Linked DNA regions of Alligator mississippiensis. The protein of the gene in region 2 interacts with the protein of the main gene of each other region in a pairwise test. Links are inferred from orthologs where the notes say so. Each region holds a gene or a part of one and is shown on either strand. Other genes may lie near its edges. The genes, in order: PSMF1 and RBFOX2.

Region 1 (9,335 bases), on a different chromosome or scaffold from region 2:
TGTGAGAGCAGTGGAGCATGGCGCCTTCCCCATCCCCTCTCGCTGCTACGTGGGGCTAAAAACAGACAACCGGTTGGATCACATCAGAGCGTTTTGTGCTGCCTCAAATCCAGACGTTACAGACCGCGGAGCATTAGGTACCTATTCAAATCGATGCATTGCTTTGGTCACGGCTAATTCAAGCTAATTGCCATTGAAGCTTGTGTGTAAACAACTGTCTGTGCCTGTTTGGATGTGAGCGATATGCCAGCCAATGCAGGGCCACATCCGACCGGGTGTCTGTTTTAGCCTAGGATCACTCTACATCCACCCCTTGGCTCTTTTCCAGCCCTCCTGCCTGCCCTCCAAAAAGGCAAAAATCTGATCCCGGGCCTCCGGGGCGGTGAGGAGCTGGCTCGTGTCTCCAGGGGCTGGTTCTAGTGTAGGATCACAGGAAGGGACCTCACAAAGTCACGTCTAGTCCAGCCCCCTGCTCACGCCAGGAGCATCACCAGCTAAACCATCCCAACCCGCTTTTGAAAACGTCCCGGGATGGAGATTACACAACTCCTCTGGGCTCCTGTTGCAATGCCTGACCTCTTTCAGAGTCAGAAAATTCATCTCCAGCCTAAATTCTTCCCTGCTGCCACTTGAGGTCATTGCTCCTAGCTCTGCCCAGCTTGGCTGTGTTCCCCTCTGACTGCGGATGGCTTCCCCACAACAGGCGAGGCTGGTGCACACAGCAGACGTGATGCATCAGTCCGGCATCCTCCTGGCCCCAGCCCAAAGGCTCCTGCCGAGCTCATGCTGCAGGGTCACATATGGGACCAGAGAAGGGGGCAAATCCTTCCCCCCTCCCTTCCACCAGCTTTCGGGGCCACCGAGGTGACAGCTGGCAACATGCTAAATGCAAGGCTTACACGCCCTGAGCTTCATGGTCAGCCTCGTCTTATCAGAGGAATTACTGCGTGTTAAATGAATCCAAGCTGATTATTCAGGCGCCCCAAGCTGTAGGAGCCCATTGTGAGATCAAAACCACATTTGGGTTTTGCCAGCACCAAGGGGGAGTCCCTTGCCCTCTGCATGCAGCAACTGCCCCACCGGCATCCACATGGGAAACCTAGGCACGAATTGATTTAAGGGATTTTGGAGGCATCCAATGCATCCCACCCCACCACAAGCAGGACACGGCTGCTCTCACTTCCAAGGGGGCACCGGAAAGGCTGTGGAGGTGGGTGGAGCGCCCCATCTCCCCAGCCATACTCACCCAAAGGGGTCCAGGTCCTCTCCGCCCACTGCAAAGGGGCCCAGGGGAGATGGCCTGCAAGACAAGACACAGTGACTGCGAGGCGGGACACCAGCTATACAGAGCCGTGCACTTCGGTGGGGTGCCACGTGCAGGAGGCAGCGCGAGGGAGCAGGAGGATGTGGCGGACATGCACAGGGTGCGTGTCAGAGCGTGTTAGCAGTGGAGGCTGCGGTTCTTCACTGGGACCATGCCCAGCTCCAGTGTGCTGCAGACCTGGAGCCGGCACTGCCATGGCCAGCCCCAGGCACTGGGCCAGCCCCTGTGCACGTGGACACTGGTGCCGTGGCCTGGAGAGCAAGGCGTGCAGGTCAGTGTCCTGTAGGGCCCAGGTGGGGAGGGGGTTTTCACAGGGCACTCTCCAGCCCCCATTTCACCCACAGCTCCTTGCCAGGGATGCTGGTGGCAGGGTCCTGCACCCCCACGACTCCGAAACACACCTGCCAGCTGAAAACTACACCTGCTGGCTCCTTCTTCTGCCAGCCAACGTGGGCAGACATGGGGTGAGGGGGCTTGGGGCTGCTCCTGCATCCTTCAGAGCCATGGTGCAACACCAAGGCTGGGGAGAAGGCAGCTGGGAGGGGACACGGGGCGCATGGGGGCAGCACAGGTGGCCTCTGTGCTCTGCCACCCCCTTCCTGCCCCCTCCACCCCACTCACCAGGGGGGCTCCCTGCTGAGCGGGGGCTGCCGGGGCGGGATCCTCAGGGGGTCGTAGTCGTGGTGGGAAGCTGGTGGGACCGTCCTCTCCGGCTTGGACTCCTTCTTGTTGTCCTTCTCCTTGTCAGTCCTGAATGGGGAGATGATGCCCGAGACGATCCTCGTCCTCAGCTCCTCCACGTTCTTGTACACCCTGCGGGGACGGAGAGGGATGGCTGCTGGGCACACGCTGGGGCCACCTGCCCCACTGCCAGCCTGAGGGATTGGGGAGCTGGGCCATCGTGCTAGCACAAGGGTGGGCAAAACGTAGCCCGGGGGCCAGATGTGGCCTGCCAGGCCATTCTATCCAGCCTGCGAGGTCCCTAAAAAATTTAGAAAATTAATATTTATCTACCCCCCAGCTGCCTGTCACGTGGCCCTCGATGGCTTGCCAAAACTCAGTAAGTGGCCCTCTGCCCAAAATAATTGCCCACTCCTGTAATGGCAGCTTGCAGGGAGGACAGGGGGGAACAGGCGCCTCTCATCCCCTGGCTGGCCCCGTCCAGGCACACGCTCCTCTACCCTGTATCTTCTTACAGGACCCCCGTAGGGGTGAGTGCGATGGGAACGTGGCACCGCACATGTTCAAAATACCGCAAGGACCCACTGAAAAGCCCGTGGCCCCTTGGCAGACCCGGCCCATGGCTGCAGCTACCCACGTGTGGGCGCAAAGCTTCCCCGCTCGCAGCCAGGGACGTGCCGGGCTGCCCCTCGCTGCTGCCCCTCCCTGGCTCTCAATGGCTCCAGCCCCGCTCGCCCGGGCAGTTACATGTGGAAGTCGTCCAGGTGCTCCGGGTCCACGTAGTCCGCCACGTTCAAGGTCACGTCCGCCACCTGCAGTGAGCTGCGGTCCTGGGCGAGGGCAAGGAAGGGCCGTGTCAGCTGCCAGCGGATGGGAGCAGGCGCCACGGCCCGCTCCCCGCCTGCACACCCAAGCTGCCAGGGCAGCTGGGTCCCCGGGGCACGTCTCCCACCCGTGGCGTCGGGGATGGAGCTGCCTGGGCACGAGGGAGGGCCCCGAGCTCCCCCCAGGCGTGGGCTCACCATGACATTGAGGATCATGCTGGTGTCCACCATGATGGCCTTGAGCAGCAGCTCCTGGCTGTCGTCCTGGGCCTGGTACCGCAGCGTGTACAGCTCCTTGTCCACGTGCCACCCTGCCGGCAGCAGCTCCGACTTCCTCTCGTTGGGACCCGCCTGGGGGGCAAGCACGGCTCAGGGCGGCGGCATGCACAGACCCCCTTAGGCCGCCCCTAAGGGCCTGCCACAAGGGACGGGTGCCGTGCCCCAGCACTGGCAGAAGCGAAAGCGAAAGCGGGCTGGGGGGTCGCCCCGCACTCACCCGGTCGCCGGCGCCCAGGCAGCGGTAGCCCTGCGTGACCAGCTCCCAGTGCACGGCGCACAGCAGCGCGTCCTGCGCCCGGCTCAGCCCCGCCAGCGCCCACGCGTGCAGCACCTCCAGCCCCGCCATGCTCGTTCCCGGCTGCGCAGCTGCGCCGCCCCGCCCCGCCCCGCCCCGCACGGCACCGCCTCCTGTGGGCGGGCACACGCTGCGGGAGGGGCGGGGCGGCGCGGGGCGGCGCGGCACACACGTGGGCGGACGCGTGCGTGTGTTGGGGGGAGGGGTCATTGTGTGTGCGCATGTGTATGTCTTGGGGGGGGAAGAGCCAGTGTGTCGGTTGCATGCACGTGTGTGTGTGTGTGTGTTGGGGGGCCAAATGTCAGGGTCACACGTGGGTGTGTGCATGGGGAGGGCAAGAGCTAGGATCACGTGTGTATGTGTGTGTGTTGGGGACCAAGGGCCAGGGTCACGCATGGGTGTGTGCATGGGGAAGGGGAGAGCTAGGATCGTGTGTGTGTGTGTGTGTGTGTGTGTGTGTGTGTGTGTGTGTGTGTGTTGGGGACCAAAGGCCAGGGTCACACATGGGTGTGGGTGTGTGCATTGGGAGGGCGGGAGTTAGGATTGTGTGTGTGTGTGTGTGTGTGTGTGTGTGTGTGTGTGTGTGTGTGTGTGTGTGTGTGTTGGGGACCAAAGGCCAGGGTCACACATGGGTGTGGGTGTGTGCATTGGGAGGGCAGGAGTTAGGATCGTGTGTGTGTGTGTGTGTGTGTGTGTGTGTGTGTGTGGGGGGGGGGGGGGGGAAACAGGGTCATGTGCATGTGGTGGGAGGCCAAATGCCAGGGTCACATGTGAGTGTGTGCATGGGGGGGGGCAAGAGTTAGGATCATACGTGTGTGTGTGTGTGTGTATTGAGGGGCAAGGGCCAGGGTGACACGTGCGTGTTGGGGGGTTTGCCCCCAGGAAGGAGGCAGTGTTTTCCGTGTCCCCAACCCGGAGGCCGGCCCCTGCCCCTGCCCCGGCCCGTCCCCTCCCTGCACCCGGGCAGGGCTGGAGTGAAGCGGCTCCAGAGGTGCCTGGCAGAGAAGGGCCGCACTGCCCGTCTGCACAGCGCTAGTGGTGCTGAGCATCACGCAGATGCACGCGTGAATCCAGCGCCCACGCGGGGCCCCGTGCCAACCTGGCTCCCAGAACCGAGTTTGGAGGGAGGGTCTGGGACCGGGCGCTGCCCTGCATGTCACCGACCTTCCCAGGCTCCTGCCTCTCCTGTGGGCCCTGCTCCGGCTCCAGGCGCGGGGATGCAAAGGGAGGTGGGGGAGGCCGGCAGCCTGGGGCCCTGCCGGTTTATGGCCTGGCGGTTGCTGGGTGACGGGTGAGGTGACAAGGGCCCCGAGTTCCATGTTCTGAGCTGTCCCAGGGCTGGGCACGGCCTGTCCTCGCCCCTGCCCGCAGCCCCTGAGCATCCACGCGGCAGCTGCATCCATGCGGCAGCCGCTTCCAGGAGGCAGTGGGATTGCCCTGGGAGAAGTGGGGCTCACGCGCAGGTGCCCGGGCAGGATCCAATCCTTTCCCCTGCGTGTGCATGGCAGAGGTGCTGGGCAGCGGGGCTGGCAATGTCAGCATCCTGTTACAGGAGCCGGAGCTGGCTCCGGGCTGGGTGCGAGCTGCTCCAGAGGGTAGGATTCGTTTCCCCTTTCCTGTGTCATCTTTCCAGGCTTCTCTCTCCATCATCCGGAGCGGCGCGGCACGGCACACGCTAGAGGGCTCCCGATGCTTTTGCAAACCCCACGGACGCTCCTGCCAAACCCCTCCCTGCTCCAGCTCCTCTCCCTGCAGCTCCAGGGATGCTGCAAGTGGAGCCCGTTGCTCCTTGTTCTCTCATCTGCCACCAGCCCAGCCCCATCCTCTTTGGGACCACCTGCAGGGAGCTGAAGGCTGCTATTCAATCCCCTCTCGGTCTTCTCTTCTGTAGACTCAATCGGCCCAGTTCCCTCAGCCTCTCCTCACCAGTCCTGTCCCCGGGCCCCAAGCCATTTTCGTTGCCCTCCGCTGGACTCTCCAATTTGTCCACGTTGGAAGCTGTCTGGGTTTTGGGGAAGGGAGGTGGCTGGTTGCTGCAGACAGGACCTAAGAGCCAGGGGTGCTTCACTTGGGCTTTGCAAGTCCCTCCTGGCCTGTCTTTCCACAGGCCCAAAGAGGCTGCCGACACGGGGTGCCCTGCATGAAATGCAGAGCCTGGACCCAGCTGCAGCTAGCGGGAGTGTTTGGAGGTCAGGGCATTCAGAAAGCAGCCCCTGGGATCCCAGCACAGCAGCCAGGGCCTTTGGGTCCCAACATCCCTGTCCACAAAAGGGGATAACGCTCTTCCATCTCGGGGGGCCGTGGGAGGCTCCATTCATGATGCCCGCACAGTGCTTGGAGCATGGAAGCTCTTCACAGGCGGTCAGTGCTGGTCTTATCTCAGCCCCCAGCTAACGAGGGCTATCTGTCTTCTTCCAGAGAAACGGCTTCCCTGGTAACCAGCTGCCTTCCACCTTTTCCTGCGGTTATCCCAGTCCATCGGGGTCTCTCGTTGGATGGGGGAAGAGCAGAGTTTGGCTGCCTGGCTTGCTCGTTCTCACCACCCTTCCCTGCTGCTGATGCAGGACGAGAGCAAAGGGCCCGAGCCCTGGATCACACCTGACTGCAGATGCACCCGGCAAAGGGGACACAAGGTGCCATATGCAGCTCCAGAAAGTCACTGCAAATAGCACCTGCTGCTGCCTCCAGTGCCCTCATGTCCAGCTCGGCAAACATGGACCCGAGAGTCTAACTTGTACGTGCATTTGATTCATAGATTCATAGACGTTAGGGTCGGAAGGGACCTCAATAGATCATCAAGTCCGACCCCCTGCATAAGGGGGACGGACATGCACGTGTGGACTTTGCACGTGCAGCTGCTGGATGAACATACATCCAGCAGCTGCACGTGCAAAAGGGCCAGTTCTGGTTTGCAGACCAGCATATACAGTTGTGCCCTCTGGGCCTGCAAAGCAGACGTGCATTTTCAACCAGCAGCTATTAGAAAACCATTTGCAAACCCACTGCCTATGGTTTGCTAGAGTCTGATCCATGCTTTTGCACCCCCGGCCTCTCCGAAGCAGGGCTTGCCACTAGCAGACCAAGACATTGGCTGACAGAAGCTATTTTAAAGAAAAAGAGTGTATCGCACCACATCCAAGTGGCCTTCGAGCTCACCGCTGAGCTTTTAGACTAACAGCCCCTTTGGCATCTCTCAGACACCTATCGCAATAGCACCAGGCGGCTTTTCAGCAGTTTATTGTAGCAAGGCTATTTCTATGCCTATCATGACCTGCATCATTTCTAATATATGCACCGGACTTCCTCGCTGTGCAAGGAGCGGTTGCAATAGCTTCAGTAACTTTCCTTTCTAGACCCAATTCATTTCCGCCCATAGGAGCTCGGCGGCAGATACGTTGTCAGGAAAGCGGCAAGCCAGACGTCACTGGGGGCAAGTCAGAGCGGTCCAGACCGAGCTGGCGTATAGGAGGGATGCTCTTTGGGAATCACCACGTTGGCTCGTAGAACGGACGGCTTCCTGGATCTCCCTGGCTTATGGCAAATAAATCTTGCACGCTTAATTTCATGAGTGTTAGGAAATGGGCTCTGCTCAAAGCGAGCTTTTCCAGAAAGCCCCTGCCTTCCCACCTTGGCAGATACCCAAAGGCCCAATGCTTTTCCCTGTTGGGACTCAGGGAAGTTTATGCTCTGGACTTTGGTGGGAGTAGGTTTTGGCTGGGACAGCAGGGCAAGAGCATAGCATTTCGCTGCAGGCACCCTGTCCTTTCTGGAGTGGAGCTCCCTGCCCTTCGGGAGGCTGTGATTCAACATAATTAATAAGCACCGAGTGGAGATAACTCAGGGCAAGTCCTCCGGCTCCCCTGGAAGATGCACCACGCCTGAAGGAGCGATGCCTCACAGCCGCCACTCGCAAGCATGATTCATCTCCCCTCGTGGCAGGGCCGAGGCGGAGTCACACCTCTTGCTAACCTCGCCTGTCTGTCCTGGCTCCCTGCGAGGCTGGAAGCTGTCTCTGACGCCCTGGCTGCGTGGGAGTCTGTAGGGATCCGGCCTCTGGCTTTGCACCGGATGCTCGTGCAGCGAGGAGAGGCCCGGGCGCCTGCAGAAATCCTGTCTGCGGGAGCTGGAGCGTATGCTCTCGACTTCATGCTCTCCCGACACATGAAGGGGCAGCTCCGGGTTGTGGCATCAGAAGTTTGAAGCAACGCTGCGGTACAGGCGGGTCCGAGAGCAGGGGCTTGACTGCACGGGTCTATCTGGAAGCAGCCGAGGCCAGGTCTGGCATCAGAAACACGGCGGCAGGGGCACGGGGAGATGGGCAAACTCCCTGGTCTCGAATGCATGGTGGCATGGGTGAGAACATCCCCTGCCCCCCTTCAGTAACAGCTTGGCAGGAGCAGCCCCACAGTTGAAGCTCGTTAAGAAGGAAGGCAGCTCCGCCGTGCCTGATTCAGCTGGGAATGGCAGGAAATGACAGCAGCAGAACGGTTTCCAGCCCTTTGCAAATGATTCACACCCGGCCCGCCATGCCGAGCCCAGGCAGAGTTTCCATCCGTCCATCACACGTCTCGTTTCAGAAGGGCAGCAGTAATGCTTTGCAGACATTCGTGGCAGCCTGGCTCCCCTCCACTCATGCTGACCTTTCATCCGTGGACATGTGGCCAAGCGGATTCCCCCGTGCTCCCATCCACATCGTATTTCATTGATCCGTTTTTCCAAACCGTCCCTATTGTCTAGCCTGGCGCCTGCAATCCTGAGCGTTCAATCCAGAAACTTCACTCGAAGTGTCAAGGACGTCCTGCCTCCAAATTGAAAACATGCCAGGAGGACTGATGGGCCCACGTAAAAACAGCTTGGGGTGTCCCCAGGACTCATCCGGAGCCGCAGCTCGCACGGTTTCCACAGACATCTTGCAGCGCGGAGCTGCGAGTGGCACAAGCCTTGTAGCCTGGCACAGCCGGCTTGTGGGCAGCAGTCGACCCCTGCGCACGGGAGATTTATCCAGCCCTGGTGCATAGGTTTGCCCATCCATCTGCCTGTCCGCGCGAGTTTGCTCGGCCCAGCTGGACTTTCAGTTCCGTGGATGTTTGGTTTCTTTCCAGTGGAAACTTTGCCCCACGAGCGCAGAAGTGAGGCAACTTTCCGGCGGCCCGGCCCCGCTCCGTCCCAGGCGGACTCTAATTGGAGCCGAAGGCTTGGATTTTGCCTCTCCCATCCAAGTGCCAGCCTGAACATCCCCGCTGGCTGGGGAGGGCCCTCCTCTCGGCATCGCCGCTTCGTTTCTTTTCCCTTCCCCTTGCCGAAATGGCTGCCAGTTCTGGGTGGGACGAAGGAGGCTCTAATTGCTTTGTCTTCAGCAATGGCTCTCTGGGAGGATGGACGCATCAGTGACAACTGAGCTATCCTCGGGGTGAATTCAGCTCCATGTGTCTATAATTGAGCGCCGTTTCAGTTGGTTGCCCTTGCGTGTTGAGTCAAGCAGTAACTCCCCTCTGCTCTCATTAGTATGAATGTAGATCTTCCAGGGTCTTTTCAGGGAAAGGCCTGGTAAAAATTCCAGCTTTCCATCCTCATAACTCATACGTGGCAGGCCACGCTCCCAGCATTGCCCTCCCGGGGGGCTTTGAAGCTGAAAGCATCTGACACGACCGTCCGGCGGCCGCTACCCTGAAGGCGTGGGCCGTAGGGAGAGTTTCCATTTCTCCTGGGAAGCTCTCCCTATGTGCAGCGCTGCACAGAAATGTGTGGGTCTTCCCAAGCGGAAGAGCGAGAAACCTGGCTCCGCTTTCTGCATTTATCCGCTTTGCGGGTTGTGCGTCAGTCTTGGGGAGAGGGGAAGGGAGGGGAGAGCTCCCGCCTCGAAGGTAACGTGCTGTTCCTTCCCGGCTAATGACTTGCACTTGCTTTGGCTGGAGCCTGCGGTGCCCCAGCA
Region 2 (9,681 bases):
TTTGAAGCAACTCACTTAACCACTAGTTTTCATCTAACACACACAGCTTTTGCATTAAGGCATTTTCATTATGAAGGACAAAAATTTTCAAAACATTAAACCACAATCATTCTTTCTAAGTTTAGTAACTCAAAAATGACTTGTCTTATTACTTCAAGCTTCTCATTGTCCTCCTCTCTCAAACACCAAAAAAGAATCTCCCCTGGAAAAAAAAAGAAAAGAAAAATCACTCTCTTCTGGTCTAAAAATAAATACGCAAAATTTGGAGAGAGAGCCTGCTCCTGGTCTGAAGGACTGACATATGGAATGTAAATAAATTATAATTTTGAAAATTAAGTTTTATCAGTTGTGTTTGTCCATATAACGCTTTTTTCAATACTGAAAGCATATTATGTCTGTCTGTATTACACCTATGGACATCATTAACAGCTAAAGATGCTGAGTCCATGGATCATATACAAAACCCTATTGTTGTGTTGTAGTAGCACCCAGAAGCTCCAATCACAGACCAGGGGTCTACAGTACTCTACTGTGTTAATGTAGGCACATAAAACAAAAGGCATTGTCTGCCTGAAAGTCAGCGATGCCTTTCTTATATATAAAAGTAGCACCAGTTGAAATAAAATTGAGTTTTAAATTTATTTAATTAAACAAGCGCAAAACCTCGTGTGGGCACATTTACACTGGTTTACAACTGGCCTGTATACATATCAAACAAAATTAACCACGAGTTTTAGTCACACTAGCATCTCTCATTTGGGACAAAACCTGGCATGACATGGCTTCCTATTAGCTGGAAGAAATTCCTATCAGTGTTCACTGCTATAACTTTTTGTTTTTCTAATTTTCTTTTGCTAATTTCTACCTATTTATATTTTCACTGACATCCTGTCACACTTTTAAGCTTCTCTCATTCCTGTCTTCCTGATCTTCCACTATTTCCTTTTTCACAGACAGCCTCTTTCCTACCTTGTATTCTATCACTGTAATGTCTCCCTTTGACCTTCCCCCCCAACCCCTGCTTTACCTTTTGTCTTTCTAATTTCTACCTATTTATATTCCCACTGACATCCTGCCACTCTTTTCGCTTCTCTCATTCCTCCAGCATCTCAGACCAGCAGAGACTCCCTATGCCTGAAGAAGTGTGGCAGTGCCCAACAGCTTGCCAAGAACTTTTTTCCAACTACTCAGTTGGTCTAATAAAAGACATCACATCTACTAAAAGAACCTTGCCTGTGTATATCAGAGTTCATACATTCATTCATACAATAGACTTCCATAGAATATACACAGCTTCCCTCAACACTGAGCAGCTTTTCCAGCGCAATCCTGCAGATTTACGAATTCACAAAAATACCACTTTGGCCACAGAGAAGACGAGAGTGCCTTCCGGTGACCCTTGCAGGGGCATGGAGTACTGCAAACAGCGAACGTGAAGTTCCAAACCAAGTTCAGACCATATAGTGATGCGAGAAAGGAAGGTTACAGGGAAACAAGCAGGAAAGAACAAACACACAGAAGAACTAAAACAAACAAAAAGCTCCACACCCTCCTGCTTCAAAGTAGTCAAAAAAGCCTTCAGCATGGTAACTGAATAGAAGCCAGAACAAAAAAAGTGAAGAAAACTAGTTGTGTAACTACTGGCATTTGAGAAGGGTCAGGAGAAAAAGCTCTGGGCTTTCCCTTCAGAGACAATCAACACAAGCCACAAATCCAGAAGCAACTCCGGATGAATAGCTCACACTGTTCTCAAGGCATTCCAACACCTTCAGTTCAAGAAGCAGTCGCAAGAAGCACTGAGACCACCTGCTCACTTGCCTAAGCACAATAATGCTACATTAAATATAGCCAAGGAAAAAAGAACAATATCCAGAATCCCAAACGACTCAAATAAATGCATCTGGAAAAGGAAAGCACAAAACACTGACCAAAATACACTGGGGCAAGACAACAGAATCTTTTCTCTCTGACCTGTCTACCCTCAAATCTAATGATGAGAGGTAGCACTCTCTTTGTCAACCCTGGAAATGTCTCATGTGATGTCCCCAAACCTTCCTCCTCTGTTACCAGGTACACCGACAACTATTCAATATCATTTGCAAACAAACAAGAGCAGGAGCAAGCCAAGTGTCACTGCTGACAAGAAACATGTATGTTCACTATATGAACTACCCCCTTCTACAGCATCCCCCAGGGCAGAGGTGTCATTATACAGACATGAATACAGTATAAAGAAGAGAGAGTCAGGGGGAGAAATACAGTAGTGTAGGAAGGGGAGGCCCAGTGAAGAGCAAACAGAAAAAAACTACTAGAGGAAAGGGGCCCTCAAAAAATTAAAAATGTTCACTGCAGTGACAGACAAGGTTCCTTGGGTGAATTTGATATCTTTTATTAGACCAACCTAAATGGTTGGAGAATAGTTATTAAGCAAGCTTTCGGGTTCAAAAACCCTTCGTCAGGCTAAGGAAGCTGTAGCAGTTGGTGTGCTCTTCCTGCAGTGACGTGCCCACCTGAAATCAAGAGTTCATACCCATCTTTATTAGTGCCAGAGTGGATGCTAACATGCCCTGGATGCTAACATGCCCAGTCCCCCTTGCCCCCTCATCCTGCCCATGCGGTAGGTACACTTTACTACGTACACTGAACGTAGCAGCTTGCGGTCCATCAGGCTCTAAACTAGTATGGGCTCCCCTAACTCTCTGATCTTGTCACTCAGTAAAAACTGGCTAGGGACGGGTGGAGGAACAAACAAGGCCAGTAACAAACACCTTTCACTAGCTATATGGGGAGACGTAGTTCTAGGCGGATGCCCAATTCCAGGGGGTGAGGGACTTGGTGGCAGAAAACATGTTTGAGGAGAGCAGCCCAAAACTCTCAGCCGCTGAGTGACGCAGGACTTTTAGCCTAACTATCAAGGCAATTTCCTATGAAGCAAAGCATTCAGGGCTGCGAAACAGCTCCTTGGGGACAGTGGCCTGCGCGTCGTCCTTCCTGACACACGTATGACGCCCTGACTTCGCAAAGGCCGCTCAAAGCTTGCCCGGTCAGCTGCGCACGCAGGCAGCGCGTACCTGGAGGGCAGGTGGCTCCGGCTGAGTCCAGGCAAGACGCACCAACAAGTCTGACCCCAAGTCTTACCTGCTTAAGCCAGCCCTGGGCACACTGACAAGGGGCTGCGCAACGTCAGGCTGCCCAACGTCAGGCTGCCCAGGCTGCGGGGCAGCAGGCCGCACTGCCAGCACAGAAGCAGGCGCGGTCCAAAACCCCGGTGTGAATTCAAGGCCACCCACAATGTTTGTGTTTTACCAGCAGTAAAGTTGACATCAACTTTTTTTGGAGGGGGTTTAAAGCCCTGACTATGGCGGTGCCCAGCTCCGGGCTCTGGGCCGCGGGTGGGGGCCGAGGGGCAGGACACGCCGCCCTGGGGGGGGGGGCCTCGGGAAACCACGGCTAGAGAGAGGCCGGCGGGTGGGGGCCGCTCGCTCGCCCGCCCTTTGCTCCCGCACCTGCATGCCGCCGCCCTCGGCCGCCTCCGCCTCCGTCCTCAGCCGCTTGCTGTGACCGCTCTCGGCTCCGTCCCCGCCAGGCATGGGCTGCTCCGGCTCCGGCTCCCGCTTGATGCCCCTGGGGGCCCCGCCGCCGGGGAGGAGCTGCTGGTTCTGCGGCTGGGGCTGCGGCTGAGGCTGCGGCTGGGGCTGGCTGCCGCCCTCCGCCATCCGCGCCCGCCGGACCCCGCCGCCCCGCGCGCCCTGCGGGGGCCGCCGCTGCACAGCCGCGATCCCTGCCGCCGCCCGGCCCGGCCCGGCCCGGCCCGGCCCGGTCGCTGCCTGCCCGCCTGCCCGGGGCGATGCCGCGCTTGGGCTCGGGGTCGGGGAGCACGCGCCTCGCTCCGACCGCCGCTCCACACCGTACCGCACCGCGCCGTTCGGGATCGGGCTCGCGGACTGGGCGAGAGAAGGTGGCGGGGCCCTCGGCAATCTCCGGAACCGCCGCCTGGGCGGTGCGACCCCCGCTCGGCAGCCTTCGGCCTGGGGGCGGGGCCTCGGCCGGCCGGGCGGGGCTGGGCTGGGCGGGGATGGCGGCGGCGGCTGGGCCAGTCTCGGAGGCGTGAGGCGCTGGACTGCTCCTGCCCCGCCCCGCCCCGCCCCGCCTCGCCTCGCCCGGCCCGGCCCGGCCCGGCCCGGCCCGGCCGAGCCTCGCTGCCCGGCCCCGCTCAGTGTGTTTGCAGTGGGGGGGCCGGGAATGACGCCTGGCAGGGGCCACGCGTAGGGGGTGCACATGCACCCCCTGCGGAAAGGCGCTGCCAACACTGTCGGCTGCCTGCCAGCCCCCCCCCCTCCGCTGACACCGCCGGTGGCACGTGCTGGCGGGCTGCCCTCCCCGCTGGCCGCCGCCGACACTGCCAGCAGCGTGTGCGGGTGGTCGCCAACCCCTGGTCAGCGCTCACCACCACCCAACCAACAGTGCCGGCGGCGTCTGCGGGAGCTTCAGCTTGCCGCCGCTCTCCCACCGCCGGCGCTGTGCGCCCAGCCTTGTTCATGACCCCAGGAACCCCCAACACACACGCATGGGCCAGCTCACCCTCACACGTGCCCCAACAGCCACACACCCCATCTGGGCTAGCGCAGCCCCTCACTCATCCTCCCCAACACATAGGCATGCACCCACATCCCTACACACACACCCCAACACAAGCATGCACATACCCCACCCAGGTCAGCACAGCCCCACACGCGCACCCCAACACATCCTTCCCAACACACACCCCCACACCCCCCAGGGCCAGCTCAGCCCCACACGATGCTACAAATAATCCCTCTTACTCTTTACACAGCAAAATTGGGCTCCCTGTTCCCCCTGCCATAAAGCCTTCAGAAGCTGTTTGGCTGAGCTGGCCCCAACAAACAGGTCTCCTTCCTAGCCTCCACCCCTCGACTTGACCCCGCAAGGCCTCTGGAATAAGAACTGCTGTTTGTTGGGTCAGACCACAGGTCTGTCTAGCCCAGCATCACTGGGTCACACGGTGGCAGACAGTGATCGCAGACAGGGACAGTGACCTGGGTCCGGCCAGGGTTTTTAGAATCATAGAATTGTAGAAAATGAGGGTTGGCAGGGACCTCAGGAGCTCATTTACTCCAACCCCCTGCTCAAAGCAGGACCAGCCCCAACTGGATCATCCCAGCCAAGGCTTTGTCTAGCTGGGTCTTAAAAACCTCCAAGGACGAAGAGTCTACCACCTCTCTGGGTAACCTGTTCCAGTGCTTTACTACCCTCCTAGTGAGAAAGTTTTTCTTAATATCTAACCTAAACTTCCCTGCTGCAACTTGAAACCATTGCTCCTTGCTCTGTCGTCTGCCACCACTGGGCACTTGTATACATGACACCATTACCATGTCCGCATGACAAAAATGTCACTTTGTGTGGCTTGATGGCGTCACATGGCATGTGCAAGACTTTTGAGGGTGTTAAGTGAGTTTGCATGGTTGCAAACTAAACTACATCTGGATGTAGTAGTTTGCAACATTGCAAATTGCAACAATCCAGCTGTCAACTCACCACCCCCCTAGCTGCAGGAGAAACAAGACGGCTCCATAGAAAAACAGGATCGGGCCCTTCTCTGCTTCTGCTTTCAGCAGGCTCCTCCGGCTGGCAGGATGCCTGGGGCCATCCGGGAATGGGATGGTTTGTCCCTAGGGCAGTGCAGGACAGCAGCAGGAGGGCAGCTGGGTTTGCTGGCAGCTGGAAGAGGTGGCGGGGATGGTGCACGAAGCCCTGGAAGCTTGGGTGGGCTCAGGGAAGCATTGCATTGGGCACCTCTGAGCTGGGGCAGCACCTGGCCAGCTAACAGTTCACCCGGGCTTCCAGCGCTCTGTGCACCATCCCTGATGCCTTCTCCAGCTGCCAGCTAACCCAGCCACTCTCCTGCAGCCTTCCCGCGCTGCCCCAGGGGCAAGCCAGCCCATTCCTAGGTGGCCCCAGGCATCTTACCAGCCACAGGAGCCTGCCAAAGACAGAAGTAGTCATGCATGAACAACGCATGCCCCCGGCAGCTGGGGGAGCATGGTGGCTGCAGGAGCGCAGTGGTGGTAAGCAGGGAAGCTCCTGCAGGCGCTGTCAGTGGCAGGAGGGGAGGGGAGTGGGGGCGAGTGCCGACCAGGGGTCAGCAACCACCCACAGACCAGCAGGGATTGTGAACCGCCCACAGATGGCACCATTGGTGTCGGCTGCAGGGTGGCAAGCAGCGACTGCCCACAGGTGTCACCGACAGTGTTAGCAGCACCTTTTAGTAAGGGGTGCACCACCACGCTCAGGGGATGCACATGCACCCACGTCCACCCGCTACATGTCACCCCTGCAGTCATGGCCCAATCCTCTTTTTGTATTTTGGCAGAGCCTGCCTGCCTCTCCCGTGGCCAGAGGCTGAGCTGCCGGCAGGCCAAGTGGCCCCTGATCTGTTGGGGAACTAGTCCTTCCCTCCGCGGTGGCGGTGCACCCCAGGGCCATGGGCTGCTAGCAGGCCGGGTCAGGGCCAGCCCATCCTATCCTGCAAAACCTGCGGCCACAGGGGGCCCCACAGCCAAGGGACCCCTAGCGTCCAGCCACTCACCACCCCCACCCCCTGCCACTTCATGGGCCTTAAGGCCCACCCATCTAACTAATAGCCCCCACTGTGTGAAGCCAAAGGGTGAAAGACACAACTAATTTTTTTAATTTGGGGGGGGGGGGGGGACAACTGAGGAAAAAGCAGGATAGGCGTGACCAGGGGTTCAAGGGTCAAAATGTGAAAATAAGTGCGCCGGGGGGGAACGACACTGAGTAGAGCCCCCCATCCCACACCCACTGGTCCTCAAAGACATCCAAGCAGCTGGTGGAGGCTGCCCATTGATGCTCTGCCTGGAAACATGCATGGATGAGTGAGAGGAAAGGAGCCCCGCATTCCTCAGGCACCTTCCTGGCCAGCGCCTCCTTCCTAGTTATGTACAGGGCCCACTTGGCCAGGGCCAGGAGGAGGTTGACCAGGAAGTCCCGGGACTTGGTGGGGCTGCAAATGGAGTGCCCAAAAATAAAAAGGTGTGGGGGTGAAATTCATCCAGAACCTCAGGAGGAGGTTCAGAAGGTGGAGGTGGAGGTGTTGCATCCTGGCGCACTTGAGTGTCATGTGCGCAGGGGTGACGCATAGAGGGTGCACATGGGTGCACGTGCACCCCCTGAGCTTGGCGGTGCACCCCCTACAAGAAGGGGGACCGCCACCTGCAGGCGGTCACTGCTTACCACTCCCACCGCTGACACTGGCAGCGGCATCTGTGGGCAGTCAGCGATCACCGCTGGCCAATGCTGATGCTGCTGGTAGTGTCTATGTTTGTCTGGTTGGGGCTCGCCTGCCCCCCTATGATGATACTGTTGTTGGCGTCTGTGGGAGCTCCTGCTTACTGCCACCGCACTCCTGCTGCCATCATGCCCCCCCAGCCGCCAGGGGCATGCATCATTCCTGCATGTGTGCCAGGGCCTGTGAAGCTCACCACATATATGCCTGTGGTGATGGCTCCATGGAGGAGCCACCAGCTGAGGTCCCCAGTGGCTTGTGGGATGAAGGCAAAGTATAGGCTAAGCCACTGGGGTGCCCCAGCCATGCCCTCACTGAGCAGGTCCCGCCACTTGGTGTCTGGGCAGGATGTGAGGGCAACATGATGGATAGTGCGGCACATGAGCATTTAGAGGTGGCAGCGACAGACAGTGGAAAAACAGACCGGTTTGGTGTCCTCCAGCCGGCTCAGGTGGTGGGATGGGGAGTGCTGTGAGGCTAGGTGAGGCGCCAGCCTCAGCAGCTCACTGCTGGCTGCAGGCAGGCTCCAACTCCAAAAAGAAAAAAAAAATGATCAGGCCCCCTGCTGTAACACGATGGAAAAACTGAAGCAGCGGGTTTCAATTAAAAACCCACCACTTCGATTTAAGGGGCATAGAGGAAAACTCTGAGGGCTAAACCCCTGTCATATGTACAAGCACCCATTGAGAACAAGTCTAGTTGCAACCTCCTAGGAACCCCTCTTCAGGTAGTTGAAGGCTGCTATTAAATCCCCCCTCAGTCTTCTCTCCTCCAGACTAAATAAGCCCAGTTCCCTCAACCTCAGTTCATAAGTCATGTGTCCCAGCCCCCTAACCACTTTCATTGCCCTCCACTGAACTCTCTGTAATTTGTCCACATCCTTTCTGTAAGGGGCGAGGGGCACTGTTTTTCCCACTGTTCCTCTCCCACTTGCAGCTTGCAGCATTTAAACTCTAGAAAGTTCTTATTCAGAGGCCATCCCCCTGCCTCCCATGCTCAAATCGCTCCTTCCCCTTTGCTTTTCCTTGCAATTCTCAGCACTAGACTTTGTTTCCCACCATGCTCCTACTTGCCCGTCTTGGCTAAGCATGTTTAGAGTGCATCATAATCTCACTGAGCTAAGTAATCTTGTTTCATTGGCAGATTTTACCATGAAACTGTTTATCCTCTGTTTTCCAGACTGTCAGCAAGCAGTGTAGGTCTCAGAGTGCCCTTTGAGAGCATCGCATCATTAATCTCTTTTGTCATGTTGAAAAATTACTATTTATACCTACTTGATTGCCCATCTCATAGGACCCACATACCAGAAATTTTTCCCAGTTATACACTATAATTAAACAAATAGTTACATTAGTAAACTCTCTATATAGACATTGGCAATTCCAGAAGCAGTGACTTCTCATTTAGCTTAGGCCTCTTCCACAGTGACATACACTAAATGGAAATAAAATCACTCATTCCAGAGCAAGTGTCAACAGACATCATCCGTGTATAACTATATGGCAGTAATTCTTAACTGGACTGATGCAGCACCTTAGGGTGCTATGATATCCTTTTAAAGGTGCTGTCCTGCACTGCTACCAGGTGGAACTGTCCCTTTGTGCCTCTGTTTCCAGAAGACATTATACAGGGCTAGATCTGGAAAGCAGTTGAGGCAGGAAAGGGGTGCCCTGCTGCAGCCTGGCCTGATGGAAGGGAAGGCAAGATATAGTAAAAACTGCTCCTGCACTTCCCAGTGGGTCAGGGGCACCTGCTGGACTTTGTGTATCATGGCATATCTCCCTTGCACAACAAAAAGGATGGGCTCCCTCTGCCTTCATCTGCAGAGGGTGCCACTAAATTCAGAAAAGCTCTGGAGTTTAAAAAGGTTGAAAATCACTGTTATATGGGTTTAAATTCACACCTTATTTTATATTGTTGTAAGTTAAGCCTTGCTGCCGCAGAAGTGGTTTGATGATGTAGCTAGGTCTCTCCCATGTTCTCCGGCTCAGCTTCACATTTATTATCCATTCAGGCCTCTTGTTATCTGCAAATTGACACAGGCAGCAATCTGCACAGATCTGAAGTCTTTTCCTCACCTCTCTGTATTTCTCCATTGTTTGTGCCCCATATAATAAAACTGACTTTAGATTTGTACCAAAAGTCCAATGTTTGTTCTTCAATCTAATTGGTCTCAACTTCTAAACTAGTTTAACAGGAACAAAATACTACTTGGATTTTCCCTGTTCTAGGGCATATATTTGTGCTGCCACCACAACAGATGACAATACCTCCAAGATAAGTGAACTTCCCTGTTCACTTCAGTGCGCCCTGCTGCACTTTTGTTCTTACTGGTTTTGTTGTAAGTACTTCTAGTG

What was found.
Region 1: the proteins of RBFOX2 (region 2) and PSMF1 interact in a two-hybrid assay, tested with the Homo sapiens proteins (2 studies listed by BioGRID and IntAct). The two-hybrid records come from large-scale screens. The link is inferred for Alligator mississippiensis from reciprocal best matches to the Homo sapiens genes RBFOX2 and PSMF1.

Annotation. Positions count from the first base shown.
Region 1 is NC_081832.1:1,940,701-1,950,035, reverse strand, and holds the start of PSMF1 (proteasome inhibitor PI31 subunit), read right to left. Parts: upstream 3,485-9,335; 5' UTR 3,455-3,484; coding exon 3,326-3,454; intron 3,181-3,325; coding exon 3,028-3,180; intron 2,836-3,027; coding exon 2,753-2,835; intron 2,138-2,752; coding exon 1,946-2,137; intron 1,301-1,945; coding exon 1,247-1,300; intron 1-1,246. UniProt on the Homo sapiens protein: Plays an important role in control of proteasome function. Inhibits the hydrolysis of protein and peptide substrates by the 20S proteasome. Also inhibits the activation of the proteasome by the proteasome regulatory proteins PA700 and PA28.
Region 2 is NC_081827.1:101,110,605-101,120,285, reverse strand, and holds the start of RBFOX2 (RNA binding protein fox-1 homolog 2), read right to left. Parts: upstream 4,000-9,681; 5' UTR 3,717-3,999; coding exon 3,507-3,716; intron 1-3,506. UniProt on the Homo sapiens protein: RNA-binding protein that regulates alternative splicing events by binding to 5'-UGCAUGU-3' elements. Prevents binding of U2AF2 to the 3'-splice site.